Stegostoma tigrinum: one gene and its partner. The protein of the gene in region 1 purifies or fractionates together with the protein of each later gene. This does not show direct contact. Links are inferred from orthologs where the notes say so. Each region holds a gene or a part of one and is shown on either strand. Other genes may lie near its edges.

What was found. Proteins that work in one complex are often made in the same cells at the same time.
Region 2: the proteins of kat2b (region 1) and taf5l purify together in Homo sapiens (affinity purification with mass spectrometry; 5 studies listed by BioGRID and IntAct, with this or other methods). This does not show direct contact. The link is inferred for Stegostoma tigrinum from reciprocal best matches to the Homo sapiens genes KAT2B and TAF5L.

What each region holds. Positions count from the first base shown.
Region 1 is NC_081355.1:106,167,741-106,175,493, reverse strand, and holds the start of kat2b (histone acetyltransferase KAT2B), read right to left. Parts: upstream 3,014-7,753; 5' UTR 2,882-3,013; coding exon 2,603-2,881; intron 1-2,602. UniProt on the Homo sapiens protein: Functions as a histone acetyltransferase (HAT) to promote transcriptional activation. Has significant histone acetyltransferase activity with core histones (H3 and H4), and also with nucleosome core particles.
Region 2 is NC_081362.1:15,605,743-15,613,620, forward strand, and holds the start of taf5l (TAF5-like RNA polymerase II p300/CBP-associated factor-associated factor 65 kDa subunit 5L), read right to left. Parts: upstream 3,008-7,878; 5' UTR 2,838-3,007; intron 2,605-2,837; coding exon of another isoform or gene 2,599-2,604; exon of another isoform or gene 2,564-2,598; intron 2,099-2,563; 5' UTR 2,096-2,098; coding exon 1,954-2,095; intron 1-1,953. UniProt on the Homo sapiens protein: Functions as a component of the PCAF complex. The PCAF complex is capable of efficiently acetylating histones in a nucleosomal context. The PCAF complex could be considered as the human version of the yeast SAGA complex.

The DNA.
Region 1 (7,753 bases):
AAATTCCAGGGTGCCTGGTACTATGTGAACCAAAGAAACCTACAGCACAGGAACAGGCCCTTCGGCCCTCCAAGCCTGCGCCGATCAAGATCCTCTGTCTAACCTGTCATCTATTTTCTAACGGTCTGTGTTCATTTGCTCCCTGGCCATCCATGTACCTGTCCAAATATATCTTAAAAGACGCTAACGTGTCTGCGTCTACCACCTCCACTGCCAACGCATTCCAGGCGCCAACCACCCTCTGTGTAAAGAACTTTCCACGCATATCTCCCTTAAACTTTCCTCCTCTCACTTTGAACTCATGACCCCTAGTAATTGAGTGCCCCACTCTGGGAAAAAGCTTCTTGCTATCCACCCTGTCTATACCCCTCATGATTTTGTAGACCTCAATCAGGTCCCCCCTCAATCTCTGTCTTTCTAATGAAAATAATCCTAATCTATTCAACCTCTCTTCATAGCTCGCACCCTCCATACCAGGCAACATCCTGGTGAACCTCCTCTGCACCCTCTCCAAAGCACCCACATCCTTTTGGTAATGTGGCGACCAGAACTGTACATAGTACTCCAAATGTGGCGGAACCAAAGTCCTATACAACTGCAACATGACCTGCCAACTCTTGTACTCAATACCCTGTCCAATGAAGGAAAGCATGCCATATAGCTTCTTGACCACCCTATTGACCTGCGTTGTCACCTTCAGGGAACAATGGACCTGAACACTCAGATTTTCCTGTTCATCAATTTTCCCTAGGACCTTTCCATTTACTGTATGGTTCGCCCTTGAATTTGATCTTCCAAAATGCATCACCTTGCATTTGCCCGGATTGAACTCCATCTGCCATTCATCTGCCCAACTCTCCAGTCTATCTATATCCTGTGCTGTAGGTTTCGTTGAAGCAAGAAGTGGTGTGATATTGCACCTATAACATCATTAACAGCCTTAATATGTTTGTGGGTTAAGATTTGAGATTCTATACAAGTCCGCAGTGGCTGCTTCGAAACAGTAGCCACTGGGATAGGATGGCTACGCAACCCATCAGGTAGCATGTCCCGATACAATATTTGGTATAATCCTGTGATAGTGTCCTTGGACATCGTTATCCAGTGTTAGCACCATCCCTTGTTCATCTGGTGGAGGCGACACAGACAGATCTCCTGCATTTCCTCCACATCCTGAGGGTACCTCTGTTGTGACTTCTTCATATGATCTTTGATTAACACCCCACATCTTGTTTTTGAGTGGACAGACCCCAGGCTGACTGTGGCACACATCCCTGGCCACCTTCAAAAGACAGCCTTGGTTGCTGAGTGACTAGACACCTGATGGAGCTGAACAGATTCTCTATTAAATAATTCCTAGCATGGTTAAACGGGTTCAGCAGGCTGACCACGTCCACTCCCCTGACTGTAATGACATGGAACACCTGTCCCTGAATACCCCAAATGGCTGACTGACTGAGTCCAAGCCTCTAGCAGAGATCAGACGATGCTCTCTGATGAAGGGTCTAGGCCTGAAACGACAGCTTTTGTGATCCTGAGATGCTGCTTCACCTGCTGTGTTCATCCAGCTTCACATTTGGTTATCTTGATGCCTATGACTGGCTCTGCTGACACTGCCTGACTGATAAGCGTGTGGCCATTCGGTTGAAGTACATTCACCAGGTTTGCCCCATAAGCTGCTGACACATGCAGTAGGCACAAAATCAATGTGACAAAGTTCTATAACAGCAAAGTATCCACTGCTGTTCTGAATGTGGTACTGCATTTTTGTCTTCAGCGCAAGATTCCATGGTTAGGTCTTCCCACTCCAATCGTAGTGTAGTCTTTCGGACCTCTGTGGAAACACGACATCTCTTCCTTCTCACCCTCTTAATTAAGGTCTCCATCTAGAGGATCCGGGAGCCCGACTCTCAAGGCTGCGGCTCCTTTGGTACTTTATTTAAGAACATATGCAGGCAAGCTGTATCGTGCACTAGCCTCGCCCATACTGGGACCTCCTGCTGTACATGCAGCCAGTCAGCTGGACTTGGCAACATGCTACAATCACTGTGATGAAACTACAGTTTTCACCACTTCATCTGGGTGCAAGGTATATTACAGTTCCTAAGTCAAAGAAAGAAACACATCAAATTATTTGACAAGAGGTCAATGTTTAGTTGCACTTTTTTGAGCAAAAATTGGCAATTTACAACTAAGATTTGGCATTTCACCAGTGCTAAAAGTCAAACTGATCTTTTTTCTGACAATATTCATAGTACACCATTTAACACCAGGACTTACCACAACAGTAGGTGGGAAAATTACAGGAGTGTGACATTACAACCATAAAACCTGTCATCGAATTTTAGAAAGTGACACAGCATGTAGCGATCCTAACATTGTTTACAACACATAAGTGCCAGATACCGAAACAAACCCGCCCCCTATTGCAAAACAAGCCGACCTGACACGAATACAGTCAAAACAAAATTAATTCTGACATGTCACTTCATCGTAGAGGAGCCTGTTTTAAAAGAGATTTCAGTTTGTTTGCTGGGGGTGCCCGGGCCCCGTGTTTCGCCCCCCACACCCCGCGCTCAGATCAGCAGGTTCCAGTGGGTACCTTGCAGGCGGAATAGACGCCGAGCTTTTCCAGCTTCTTTGTCCGGGGGTAGTTGCGAAGCTGCGCCTTCCTCAGCGCAATCCTCTCCCGCTGCTGCTGCTGACTTCCCGCGGCGGCGGAACGGCCGCTCGCTGCAACTGCGGCGCAGCTGACAACCGGCAGAGCCAGCGACACCGGCACAGGAGGCACCGAGTCCGAGGAAACGACACAGACCGCCGGCGATCCCTGCTGCAACCCGGCTACTCCTCCTCCTCCACCACCGCCGCCACTCTCCGCCATGGCTCCCAGCTGCTCTGTACGTGCAGAGCTGTGTTGTGCTTTTTTTTAAGGAAGTGATCCGGGCTGGAATGGTGACCACAGCGGTGGTGCTGGTGGTGGCAGCTCACTCATTGCCCTGCCTCCCTGTACACTATGTAGTCCACGGCGTTTAGCAGCACCCCGCCAGGGGCGGTACAGAGCACAAACTGACACAGCTGTTGGCTTATTTTTATTCAATTCACTTCAAATGAGAAAAAGAAAGCAACATGTCAAAAGAAAATTTATGGCTGCATACTGGAAACACTAACACAATGACAATCAAAGGATAAATAAACAAGCAGCGCAGTTAAACATTTCTTCACTCAGCTCCAAGAGATCAACCTGCTTAAAACTGATAATAATTGCCAGGAATGAACATAACTTACTGGTTTGGTCTTTTATGTTGTTTTGCTTGTATTAGTTCAACATGAGGCGCCTTCTTAAGGCTGTTTATACCAAGTACGTTAAGCTTGTGCGTTCAATTGGCATTGTTCAGTACTGCCTCCGGATTTAACAAACAACATTATAAAAGCAAAAGACTGTGGGCGCTGCAGATATGACATTTTTAAAAAAGGAAGTGCTAAGACAGACCTAACGTTTAGACATGGAAAGCTTCTTTAGCAAAAAAAAGTTTATTACAAACTACAAATTTTCTGAGGCTATGGACATAATGCAAAATAGAATTTAAAATATACCCCAGCAATTCAACTGAAAACCTGGATAGTTTGTAATCTTTAATTTCTGTAATATCAGCACAGTCCCGAATTGCTTAGTTTGTTTTTCCACCATCAGTAAATTTTATTTACTATTCGTTGACCAATGGATATGGTTCCAAATGTATGTTTTCTCTGGTCAAATTGTATTGAACAGCAATATAGATAGTTGTTTAAAACTTTCTTCTTCGATGAATGACATTGATAAAGTTGCATTTTGTGCCCAATCCCAGTTATCTCAAAAAATTGTTTTTATTGTTCAGTAATGTGCTAAGCAATTAAAGTCAACTGTGAAGGCACATGTAAATTAAACCAGAGAGGAGTTCTGTTTTAGAGGGTGGATTATTCCATGGGGTGGAGGTAGGTTGCAAAGCAAGAACGTCAGCAAGTTTCTTGCAGGAATTTCGTGGAGGACGGTCTACAGCCATGACTGCATGTCATCATGTTTAGGAACTCCACCTCCACAATGATGACCCAGCAGATTTAGTCACACTTTATTTTAAACGTTTTCCAAGCCTACAGAGGATGCCTTCATTTTGAGGCATTCTCAAGGTCTCCTTCATGCATTGGAAAGTCACCTCCGTCAGTGGGGACTCCCTGCTTCAACAGTCCTCCTTCCATCCCTAATTGGACAAAGCTCTCACAGAAAGATTGTTTTTGGCCAACAGTTGGATAATGGTGCAGGTGAGCAGACCTCATATATTCTTGGGTTTAAGACCAGCATATAGTCCCCTTGTCAGAACCCAACACCTATTTTATTCAATCCAGTGAATCAGTTGGAGTTTTGCAGTAGTCCAGCAGCTTTCAGAATTCGCTGAAACTAGTTTGCCATAGTACAAACTTAATTCACAATTTTCCTAGTATTTGTATATATTACCTAGTTCAGTGCCATAACTATGAGGTCACCATACTCAATAATCACAAGACTCATTAGCACCCCTCATGTTGATTGTAGTTCAGCAGCTCTTGTCATTGATTTCTTGCCAGTGATAACTAGATTTTAAGTTCAGCTTAGAAAATACATACAGTCAGTTTCATCATCATCATCAGGTGCGCTCTACCAAAGGCACAACCTTGGCTCTTTATAATCTTTCTGCATCATTCTACTTTGTTCCAATATTTTCATTTGACAATAATTTACTTTAATTTTCAAGCCATCTCACATTGATATTCTCTCCCTTACTCTTTTTTTTCCGTGATATTTTCTCTCCATAACATCTCATACAAGTCTGTTTCTTCCTAAACTATGCCTTACCCGGCCTTTTCATAATTACATTCAATAACTTCTTGTTGATTCATACTGCACACAAACTTAGCACTTGCTTTTTCTATCCAATAGATCGATTCCATTCTCCTCCAAACTAAGACTTTAAAACTATTTATCAAGTAGGTCTCCTCCTTCCATAAAGTCCATGCTTTGTATCAATGCAAAACAACATTCCAAATCAAACTCTCACAAGGGTTTTTTGAGTAATTCGTTGTTTTCCAGTTACCAATTGTCTCTCCTTACAAAATATAGGCTTTCCCAATGTTATTCTTGTTTAGATTTCTTTGTTGCATTTGCCATCTGCAGATATTATGCTTCATGAATACCTGAAGCCTTTCAGTTGTTCTATGAATTCATAAACATTTCTTGGTTATTTTGAAATTTGGTATTTCTTTTGTTTGCCAATATTCATTTTCATTCCAATGTTCCTACCTCCTGTTACCAGTCTGTAAGTACTTGTAACAGTTCTTTTGCTCTTGCTACAAGTAGTTTGTCATCCCCAAACCTAACTAATGTTATCATTCATCCCACCCTTCCCTACGATCATAACACCAGATCCTGTGTCTTCAATGATTCTTTAATCATTGACTATAACATAGAATGGTACAACACATGAAGAGGCTCGTTGGCCCACACTGTTGTGCTGAACATGACGCCAAATTAAACTAATCCCTTCTGCCCGCCTGTGGTACATATTCCCCATTCCTTGTTTATTCATGTGCTTATCTAAAAGCCGCTTAAATCCCGCTATCATATCTGCCTCCACCACTACCCCTGGCAGTGCGGACCAGACTCCTCCCACTATGTATAAAAAAAAACTCACACCTCCTTTGAACTTTCCCCCTCTTAGCTTAATTGCATGCCCTCTAGTGTTAAACATTTCAATTCTGGGAAAAAGATTCTGACTCTCAAACCTGTCTCTGCCTCTCACAGTTTTATAAACTTTATAAACTTCAGGAATTTGCAATGACATTGAACAGGACTATGCCTATGTCTATAATCAGTTTATTTTTGTAATAATCTTGTTTAAGAATCATGTGAATTCCCAGAATTTGGGATGATTACTGGAAGAAATAACCAAGTGTTATATCATCTGCAATTTCAGTTACTTGTGTGCCAGTTTTTTTTTCAATTTATTCAGTTCTGCTTCAACTTCCTTCCATATAGGAAATGATTTGACGTGAAGGACTTGAGCAACAACAAACTGAATTTACAAATATCAGAAAAATTATACAGTAGAAGTAATATTCATAAATGAGGAAATTGCAAGATTTCATTCAGAATATTTGGCGCTGGAAAACAGAAACTATGGATCTGCAATTCCCGAACTCAATGGCACAAATAATCCAATGTTCACTGGGAAGCAGGATGGGATATGACAGGTTAACAAGAACTTGTAGCCCACAAGGATTTGATCCTATTTAATCCAATTCTTTTAAATCCAGATGTGATACTTTTCCCATTTCTGATATAGCACAGAGGCAGAATTTCAGTACATCATAGGGTAAGTCTTCCAGCTACAACACTGGCATCTGCTCGACAACATTGGAAATTGCCAAGGAAAGTCCTGTACACATAAAAGCTGGCCAAATACAACCTGGCTAATTACTGCTCCATCAGTTTACTACTTATCATTAGTAAACTGATGGAAAGTGTTATCAACAATACTGTAAAGCAATACCTGCCCAGCAAGAACCAGCTCAGTGATGCCCAGTTTGAGTTTCACTAAGGCCACTCAGCTCCTGACCTCATTACAGCCTTGTTTAGAATAGGGGGAAAAAAAGTGAATTTTAGAGGTGAGGCGGCAGTGACAGCCCAAGGCTACATTAGACTGAGTATGGCATCAAAGAGCCTTTGCAAAAGTTGATGTCATTGGGAATTAGGGGGAAAAGTCTCTACTGACTTTTCTGGAGTCACACCTGGGCACACAGCTAGAGGTGAAAACAGAAATTGCTGGAAAAGCTCAGCAGGTCTGGCAGCATCTGCGGAGGGAAATCAGAGTTATTGTTTTGGGCCCAGTGACCCTTCCTCAGAACTGATCCATCATGTCATGCCCAAAATTCATTCAAGTGGGGACAAAGAGGATAAAACTGAGACCTTTGCTGAGTATGGAATGTTCAGCATTGGACAACGGAAGGTCAGGAGGGATAATAAATACACCATAAGAGGTGGGGTTGGGAGAGGGAAGGGCCAAGGGTATATCTAAGTGTACCATGGGTTGTTCGGAAGAAGGTTGTAGTTGTTGGAGGTCAGTCATCTCAGCCCCAGGACATCTCTGCAGGAATTCCTCAGAGTTCTGTCCTAAGTCCAAACATCTTTAGCTGCTTAATTAATAACCTATTGTCCATTATAATATCAGTAATGGGGATGTTTGCTGATGATTACACATTGTTCAGCACCATTTGTGACTCATCAGATATTGAGTACGTCCATGCCCAAATGCAACAGGCTTGGGCTGAAAAGTGGCAAGTATTATTTGCTCCACACAAATGCCAGGCAATGATCATTTCCAATAAGAGGAAATCCATCCACTGCCCCTTGTTACTCAATGGCGTTACTATCACTGAATCCCTCACAGTCAACATCCTAGGAGTTACCATTGACCAGAATCTCAACTGGACTCACCATATAATAGTAGCTACAAGGGCAGCCCAGAGCCTAGGAATACTGCAGTGAATAGCTCACCTCCTGACTCCCCAAAGCCTGTCAACCACCTACAAGGCACGAGTCAGGACTGTGATGAAACATTCCCACTTGCCCGAATGAGATCAACTTCAGGAAGCAACCCACTTGATTGATACCATATCCACAAAAATCTATACCCTCCACCACCAACACACAGTAGCAGCAGTGTGTACTATCTCCCAGATGCAC
Region 2 (7,878 bases), on another chromosome or scaffold:
ACCCTCCTGTCTGCAAAAACTACTCAGGAAACCGGAGGAAACCCACTCAGACACCACACAACCAGTTGCCCATGGGTGGAATTGAACCCGGGTCCCTGGCACCGTGAGGCAGCAGTGTTAACCACTGTACCACCGTGCCACCCCATATCTTGAACCAAGGCAAACTGGTCCAATTGCTACTCCTCCCTCCAGACCTTGCCTTAAAGGTCGGAGATGGTTACAAGTTTTACAGCAGTGAAACAGGTCTTTTGTAATTATTTGAATTTCCAATCCCAGAGAGCTATGGAGGCTCAGTCATTGACAGGAATTGACTGATAGATTTTCAGACATTAAAGACATCGAGGGATGGGGTGTAGTGTAGAGATAGTGCAGGAAAACGTAATTGAGGTAAAGGATCAGCTTTAGTGATAATGGGAACTGCAGATGCTGGAGAATCCAAGATAATAAAGTGTGAAGCTGTATGAACACAGCAGGCCAAGCAGCATCTCAGGAGCACAAAAGCTGACGTTTCGGGCCTAGACCCTTCATCAGAGAGGGGGATGGGGTGAGGGTTCTGGAATAAATAGGGAGAGACGGGGAGGCGGACCGAAGATGGAGAGAAAAGAAGGTACGTGGAGAGTAGAGTATAGGTGGGGAGGTAGGGAGGGGATAGGTCAGTCCAGGGAAGACGGACAGGTCAAGGAGGTGGGATGAGGTTAGTAGGTAGGAAAGGGAGGTGCGGCTTGGGGTGGGAGGAAGGGATGGGTGAGAGGAAGAACAGGTTAGGGAGGCAGAGACAGGCTGGGCTGGTTTTGGGATGCAGTCGGGGGGATGGGATGAATTGGGCTGGTTTTGGGATGCGGTGGGGGAAGGGGAGATTTTGAAGCTGGTGAAGTCCACATTGATACCATTGGGCTGCAGGGTTCCCAAGTGGAATGAGTTGCTGTTCTTGCAACCTTCGGGGGGCATCATTGTGGCATTGTTTCCATATTAAGCAGAGGTTCACCTGCACATCTGCCAATGTGGTATACTATATCCATTGTGCCCGGTGTGGCTTCCTCTACTTTGGGGAAACCAAGCAGAGACTTGGGGACCGCTTTGCAGAACACCTCTGCTCAGTTCGCAACAAACAACTGCACCTCCCAGTCGCGAACCATTTCAACTCCCCATCCCATTCTTTAGATGACATGTCCATCACGGGCCACCTGCAGTGCCACAATAATGCCATCCGAAGGTTGCAGGAACAGCAACTCGTGTTCCGCTTGGGAACCCTGCAGCCCAATGGTATCAATGTGGACTTCACCAGCTTCAAAATCTCCCCTTCCCCACTGCACCACATAACCAGCCCAGCTCTTCCCCTCCACCCACTGCATCCCAAAACCAGCCCAGCCTGTCTCTGCCTCCCTAACCTGTTCTTCCTCTCACCTATCCCTTCCTCCCACCCCAAGCCTCACCTCCCTTTCCTACCTACTAACCTCATCCCACCTCCTTGACCTGTCCGTCTTCCCTGGACTGACCTATCCCCTCCCTACCTCCCCACCTATACTCTACTCTCCACCTATCTTCTTTTCTCTCAATCTTTGGTCCGCCTCCCCGTCTCTCCCTATTTATTCCAGAACCCTCACCCCATCCCCCTCTCCGATGAAGGGTCTAGGCCCGAAACATCAGCTTTTGTGCTCCTGAGATGCTGCTTGGCCTGCTGTGTTCATCCAGCTTCACACTTTATTATCAAAGGATCAGCTTTGATCTTTTTGATGTTGGACCAGGTTTGCGGAGACATACAGTCTAATTCTGCACTTATTTCTGATGTTCCCAACCAGTGTACACTTTACACTGGCCTCTTTACATTCACTTAATGTCACCCTATCCACATATTAAATGAGGAGCTTTACTCTGTCCAGCTTGTTGCTGACATCTGATCCATAAAATAGATGCAATGATTCATGTTTTTGCTCAAATTTATCTTCGATGTACCTGTTAAGTTAGTTGCCATTTCTTCTGCAGTTTGAGAAAACTTGGGTCCTTGCTTCAGCGCTCCATCAGAGTCAACATATTGTCTTCTTCGGAGGTAGAGAGCCACTGCTGTCTGAATCTGTTCTGTACGTACACGTTTCATGGTCTAATTATCAACATGAAATAAGATCAATGAAGAACAGTATCGTTTATAACCAATGGATAATGCTGTTGAAATTCAGCAGGTCTGGCAGCATCAGTGGAGAAGGAAGTAGAGTTAATGTTTTGTAATGTTGACTCTGCTCCTCTCCCCACAGATGTGCCAAATCTACTGAGTTTCAACAGCGTTTTCTATGCTTGTTTTAGATTTCCAGCATCCACAGTAACTTAGACTTTATTAAAGTATCTTTTGTGCCAGTCACATTGTCCAGGCGACTAAGCCATCATTACCATTTCTCCGCTCACCAATATCCTGAGCGGCACAAAACAAAACTTTTGGTTTGAAACTGCAGACTCAACTGAAACAGTACTTTTCCGCCCACTGTGCAAGGATGTGGGTGGTGAAGGGAGATGATTGCGGCTGGGGTGTGTGGGAGTCTTGCGGAACGATTAGGAGAAAAGGAGAGATGGGGAGTGGGAGGAGATGGGTTTGGTGTAGGGAGACAAATGAAGGTGGGGAACGGGGGAGAACAAGAGATGGGGCAGGGGATAGGGAGCGGGGGAGGCAGGATGGGAGCGGGGGGGAAACGGGAGATGTTTCTGGAAGGGGGGGTGTGGGTCGGGTAGAGGGTAAGTTTCCCGGTTGGGGAGAGGGGGGGGTGGTCTTTACCCGATCCCGCCTCCCTTAGGCCCGAAGCCGATCCGTTCGCCCCGCACCACCCCCAGCCCCGAGACCGGGAACTTACTGCATGACGGCCTGGCTCCCACAGCGGACGGGGGGGGTGTGTGTGTGTGCCGACAAGGAACACGGCCCAGGCCTCAGGCCGCCCTCGGGTTCGCGCTGGGCTCCGGGCCCGGGCTCGGGGCCTCTCCTCACGGCGCCGCCGCTGCTTTGGCGCCTCCGTTCGGCTTCATGTTGATTGGCTGCGGGGAGGAGGGTGGGGTCAGCGGGGTCAGAGGTTACATGGTGCCGGGGCGGGGGGAAGCACGTGGTGCACCGCGGCCTGGAGCTGGGGAGCGGCAGGTAGGATGTGACTGTGATCTCCCTATTTACTTCAGATCCCCCTTCCCCAGCTCTGAAGGAGGGTCTAGGCCCGAAACCTCAGCCGCTCCTCTGATGCTGCTGTGTTCATCCAGCTCCACACCGTGTTATCTCTTATCTATATAGCTCCCGTGAGTCTAACTATAAATAAGGAACTGACACGTATATATTTATATAGGAACCTAGAGCACTTGGTAACTTATAGGTATAGGCCTGGGAGGTTTTGTAACCGTAAATATATAAGGCGTGGGGGACTGTATGTTGATGTGTGGTACGTTATGTTATATGTGTTGGAGTTGGGAACATGGGGTGACTATAGATATAAATCTGGGAGGTTGTGCAACTTTAAATACAGAAGGCATGGGGTAGTGTATTTAGGAATGTGGTATACTATGTCATATAATGGTTGCAAATGCCCAAAGTCTCATCAGTAAGTTTGCAGATGACATAAAATTGGTGATATTGCCGATTGTGAGGGTCTCGGGCTGCAGTCTGATATTGATCGGCTGGTACATGAGTCTGACAATGGCAGATGAAATTTAGTACATCACACACTGATCAGGACAAAGGGAAGGATTTTTGTGAGTAATAATGGAACAATATATATCATGAATGGTAGATACCTCAGGAGGCTGAGTGGGGTGTGATAGAAGTACACAAAATTGAGATGAATAGACAGTAGATTGTGAGAATCATTTCCCTGTGGGAAACTTGTTTAAAGCCAAAGGACGTAACTTTACTGTGAGGAATAAGTGATTGACAGGAGATGTGAGGAAAAACTTTTTCCACTCGGAGTTTAGTAGAAATATGGAACATATGGGCCAGAAAGGAAGTAAAACGTCAAGAGATGATGTGGAGAAGTAGAATCATGTTACCATTATAATTACGGAACCTGATCCTGACGAGCATGAGAATTGAGAGGGCAAGCCTAGGGTCTTGTAGGAAATGTTGGTCAGCAAAAGAAACTGATGTTCACGTTTCCAATGATTGGATCAATAATTCTGGTGCTGAAGGAGAGGCCTTTGAGGAGGAAGTTTTGAAAACATCATAAAAAGATGCGAGAGATGGTAGGAACTGCCGATGCTGGAGAATCTGAGACAACAGGCTGTAGAGCTGGATGGACATAGCAGGCCAAGCAGCATCAGAGGAGCAGGAAAGCTGACGTTTCGGGTCGAGACCCTTCCTGGATTGAGCTGCGGAGCATTAATGCGCTCTGTGTAACACATTCATCATAGAGCAGGAATTAATTCTGCTTGGTGTTCAAATTTTTCTTGCCACTTAACAGCTCAGCTTAGGCTGGTGAGGTGCGTTTGGGAATAGGCACCTGACGAGTCATGAATGCTGCTGAGCAATTTGCAGTCATCAATGCACTTGAATTTTACATGTTAATCTCTGAGTGGGACCTTGGTGCGAACGCCTGAAAGTCAAACTGCACCAGATTCACTGGCTTACCTTTACCAACTCTCTTAATTACATCCTCCAAAGAAACTCCAATAGATTTGTCAAGCATAAATTTTCTTTCGCACATGCTCCATTATTAAATATTGCATAAAGGACTTGAGCATTTCTCCCAGTACCGATGTTGGGCAAATTAGCCCGTAATTCCCTTTTTTCTCTGTTTAAATAGGGGGATTACATTATCTACACTCCAAATTTAGAGGAACTGTTCGAGTCTATAGAATCTCTAAAAGATTCTTGTTCGTGCATGGACAATTTGTTGTGCCACTTTCTAAAGTGTAGATCTCTGGGCCCCGTTTGGATTTATCAGTCTTTAATTCCATCTTCTTCAGGAATTCCTGCTCTGCACTAATGAATTCAGAAACAAGACCACAATTTGTAATCAGATGAAAGTTGCCCATAAATACAGTTGTACCTTTTTATTGCTTAGATCTCTCTCTAATTACCTGTTTAATGCCTTTCCCAACATCACCAGTACAGTTTGCCGATCTATATGCAACTGTTTTCTGCCCCTTGGTGTTTCTGAGCTTTACCTGTACAGATTCCATTTCATGGGAGTTAGAATCCTTCCTCAGCATTGAGTTAATTCCCTCCTAAAAATGAGCAGCGCTCATCTTTTTTCCTATTTGTCAGCCCTTAATAAAAATGGTTATTACCGTTGGATGTTCAGTCCCATCCCAGGTCATTTGCAACCATATCTTAAGTCTGTGGTCAGCAAGGTTTTGGAAAGAAGTCTGAGGGATAGGATTTATGACTATTTGGTAAAGCATAGCGTGATTAAAGGGAGTCAGCATGGCTTTGTGAGGGGCAGGCCATGCCTCTCAAATCTTATTGAGTTCTTTGAGGAAGTCACGAGACAAGTTGACGAGGGTCGAGCAGTAGATGTGGTGTGCATGGACTTCTTCAGCAAGGCATTTTGATAAGTTTCCCCATGGCAGGCTCATTCAAAAAGTCAGGAGGTATGGGATACAGGGTGATTTGGCTGTCTGGATTCACAATTGGTTGGCTGACAGGAGGCAGAGAATGGTTGTAGATGGTTAGTATTCTGCTTGGAGGTCAGTGCTGAGTGGTGTCCCACAGGGTTCTGTTCTTGGGCCTCTGCTCTTTGTAGTTTTTATAAATGACTTGGATGAGGAGGTTGAGGGGCGGGTTAGCATGTTTGCTGATGACACAAAGGTTGGAGGTGCCGTTGATCGTATCGAGGGCCATTGCAGGCTTCAGCGGGACGTTGACAGAATGCAGAGCTGGGCTGAGAAATGGCAGATGGCGTTCAACCTGGATAAATGTGAAGTGATGCGTTTTGGAAGGTCGAACTTAAATGCTGAATATAGGATTAAAGGCAGGATTCTTGACAGTGTGGAGGAACAGCGGGATCTTGGTGTTCAAGTGCACAGCTCCCTCAAAGTTGCCACCCAGGTGGATAAGGTTGTTAAGAACGCATATGGTGTTTTGGCTTTCATTAACAGGGGGATCGAGTTTAAGAGCTGCGAGGTTATGCTGCAGCTCTACAAAACCCTGGTGAGACCACACTTGGAATATTGTGTCCAGTTCTGGTCACCCTATTATAGGAAAGTTGTGGAGGCTTTGGAGAGGGTGCAAAGGAGGTTTACCAGGATGCTGCCTGGACTGGAGGGCTTGTCTTAGGAGGAGAGGTTGACTGAGATGGGACTTTTCTCTCTGGAGAGAAGGAGGAAGAGAGGTGACCTGATCGAGGTGGACAAGGTAGTGAGAGGCATGGATAGAGTCGACAGCTGGAGACCTTTCCCCAGGGCAGGATTGACTGCCATGAGGGGTCATGGTTTTAAGGTGTTTAGAGGAAGGTATAGAGGAGATGTCAGAGGGAGGTTCTTCACCCAGAGAGTTGTGAGCGCATGGAATAGTTTACCAAAGGTAGTCGTGGAAGCGGAGTCGTTAGTGACATTTAAGTGACTGCTGGACATGCACATGGACAGCAGTGAATTGAGGGGAATGTAGGTTGGGTTATTTTATTTTTGGATTAGGAATATTCCACGGCACAACATCGTGGGCCGAAGGGCCTGTACTGTGCGGTAGTTTTCAATGTTCTATGTTCTATCTCTGTCGTCACAGCTACATCATACCTGTTTATATCTATTTGCATGACCAAATCATCCACTTTATTATGAATGCTTCATGCATTAAAACATAAGGTCGTAATATTTGTCTTTTTAGTGCACTTTGTCCTGTTTGTGTTTTGCACAGTTTGGCCTTGATACCTGCCCTTGAATTTTCTGTCTTCTCATCTTTTTTTTGTTTTTGTTCATGTTTCCTACTCTTCAGTCTGCCTGTATAAGTTCCCATTCCACTTATCCATTAGCTCCATAATACTGCATTCATGACATAGCATGTTGATAATGAGTGTATCGTTGCACCTAAGTTTTGGCTTCACATATATTTAAACTTTTTTTAAGTAGGGTTAATTTTGTAATGCATGCATGGAGCAAGCTGCAAGTTATTCTAATGTTGCTGCTGAGTGTGTTTATTCGTAAGCATATTGTCCAAAATCTCGACAATTGAAGTGAATTTTTAGTTTGCAATTTAAAATTGCAGGAGATGGTATGGAGGGGAGGTCTTATGAGGAAAGGCTGAGGGACTTGAGGCTGTTTTCATGAGAGAGAAGAAGGTTGAGAGGTGACTTAATTGAAACATATAAAATAATCAGAGGGTTAGATAGGGTGGATAGGGAGAGCCTTTTTCCTCGGATGGTGACGGCGAGCACGAGGGGGCATAGCTTTAAATTGAGGGGTGAAAGATATAGGACAGATGTCAGAGGTAGTTTCTTTACTCAGAGTAGTAAGGGAATGGAACGCTTTGCCTGCAATGGTAGTAGATTCGCCAACTTTAGGTACATTTAAGTCGTCATTGGACAAGCATATGGATGTACGTGGAATAGTGTAGGTTAAGATGGGCTTGAGATCGGTATGACAGGTCAGCACAACATCGAGGGCCAAAGGGCCTGTACTGTGCTGTAATGTACTATATATATTGGAGTTTGGAACACTGGGTAACTATAGATATAGGTCTGGGAGGTTGTGCAACTGTAAATATATAATGGATGCGGTGAGTATATAACTGTGTATAGGTATGTGGTACATTTTGTCATATGTAGGAGTCTGGAATGCTGGGTACCCATAGATGTAAGTTTGGTAATTGTATAACCATATATAGATAAGGAATGGGGGAATCTGCACAGCTGTGTTTAAGCATGCTGGGCATTGTCATAGGTAAAGGACTCTGGAATGCTGAGTAACCATAGATATATGTTTGAG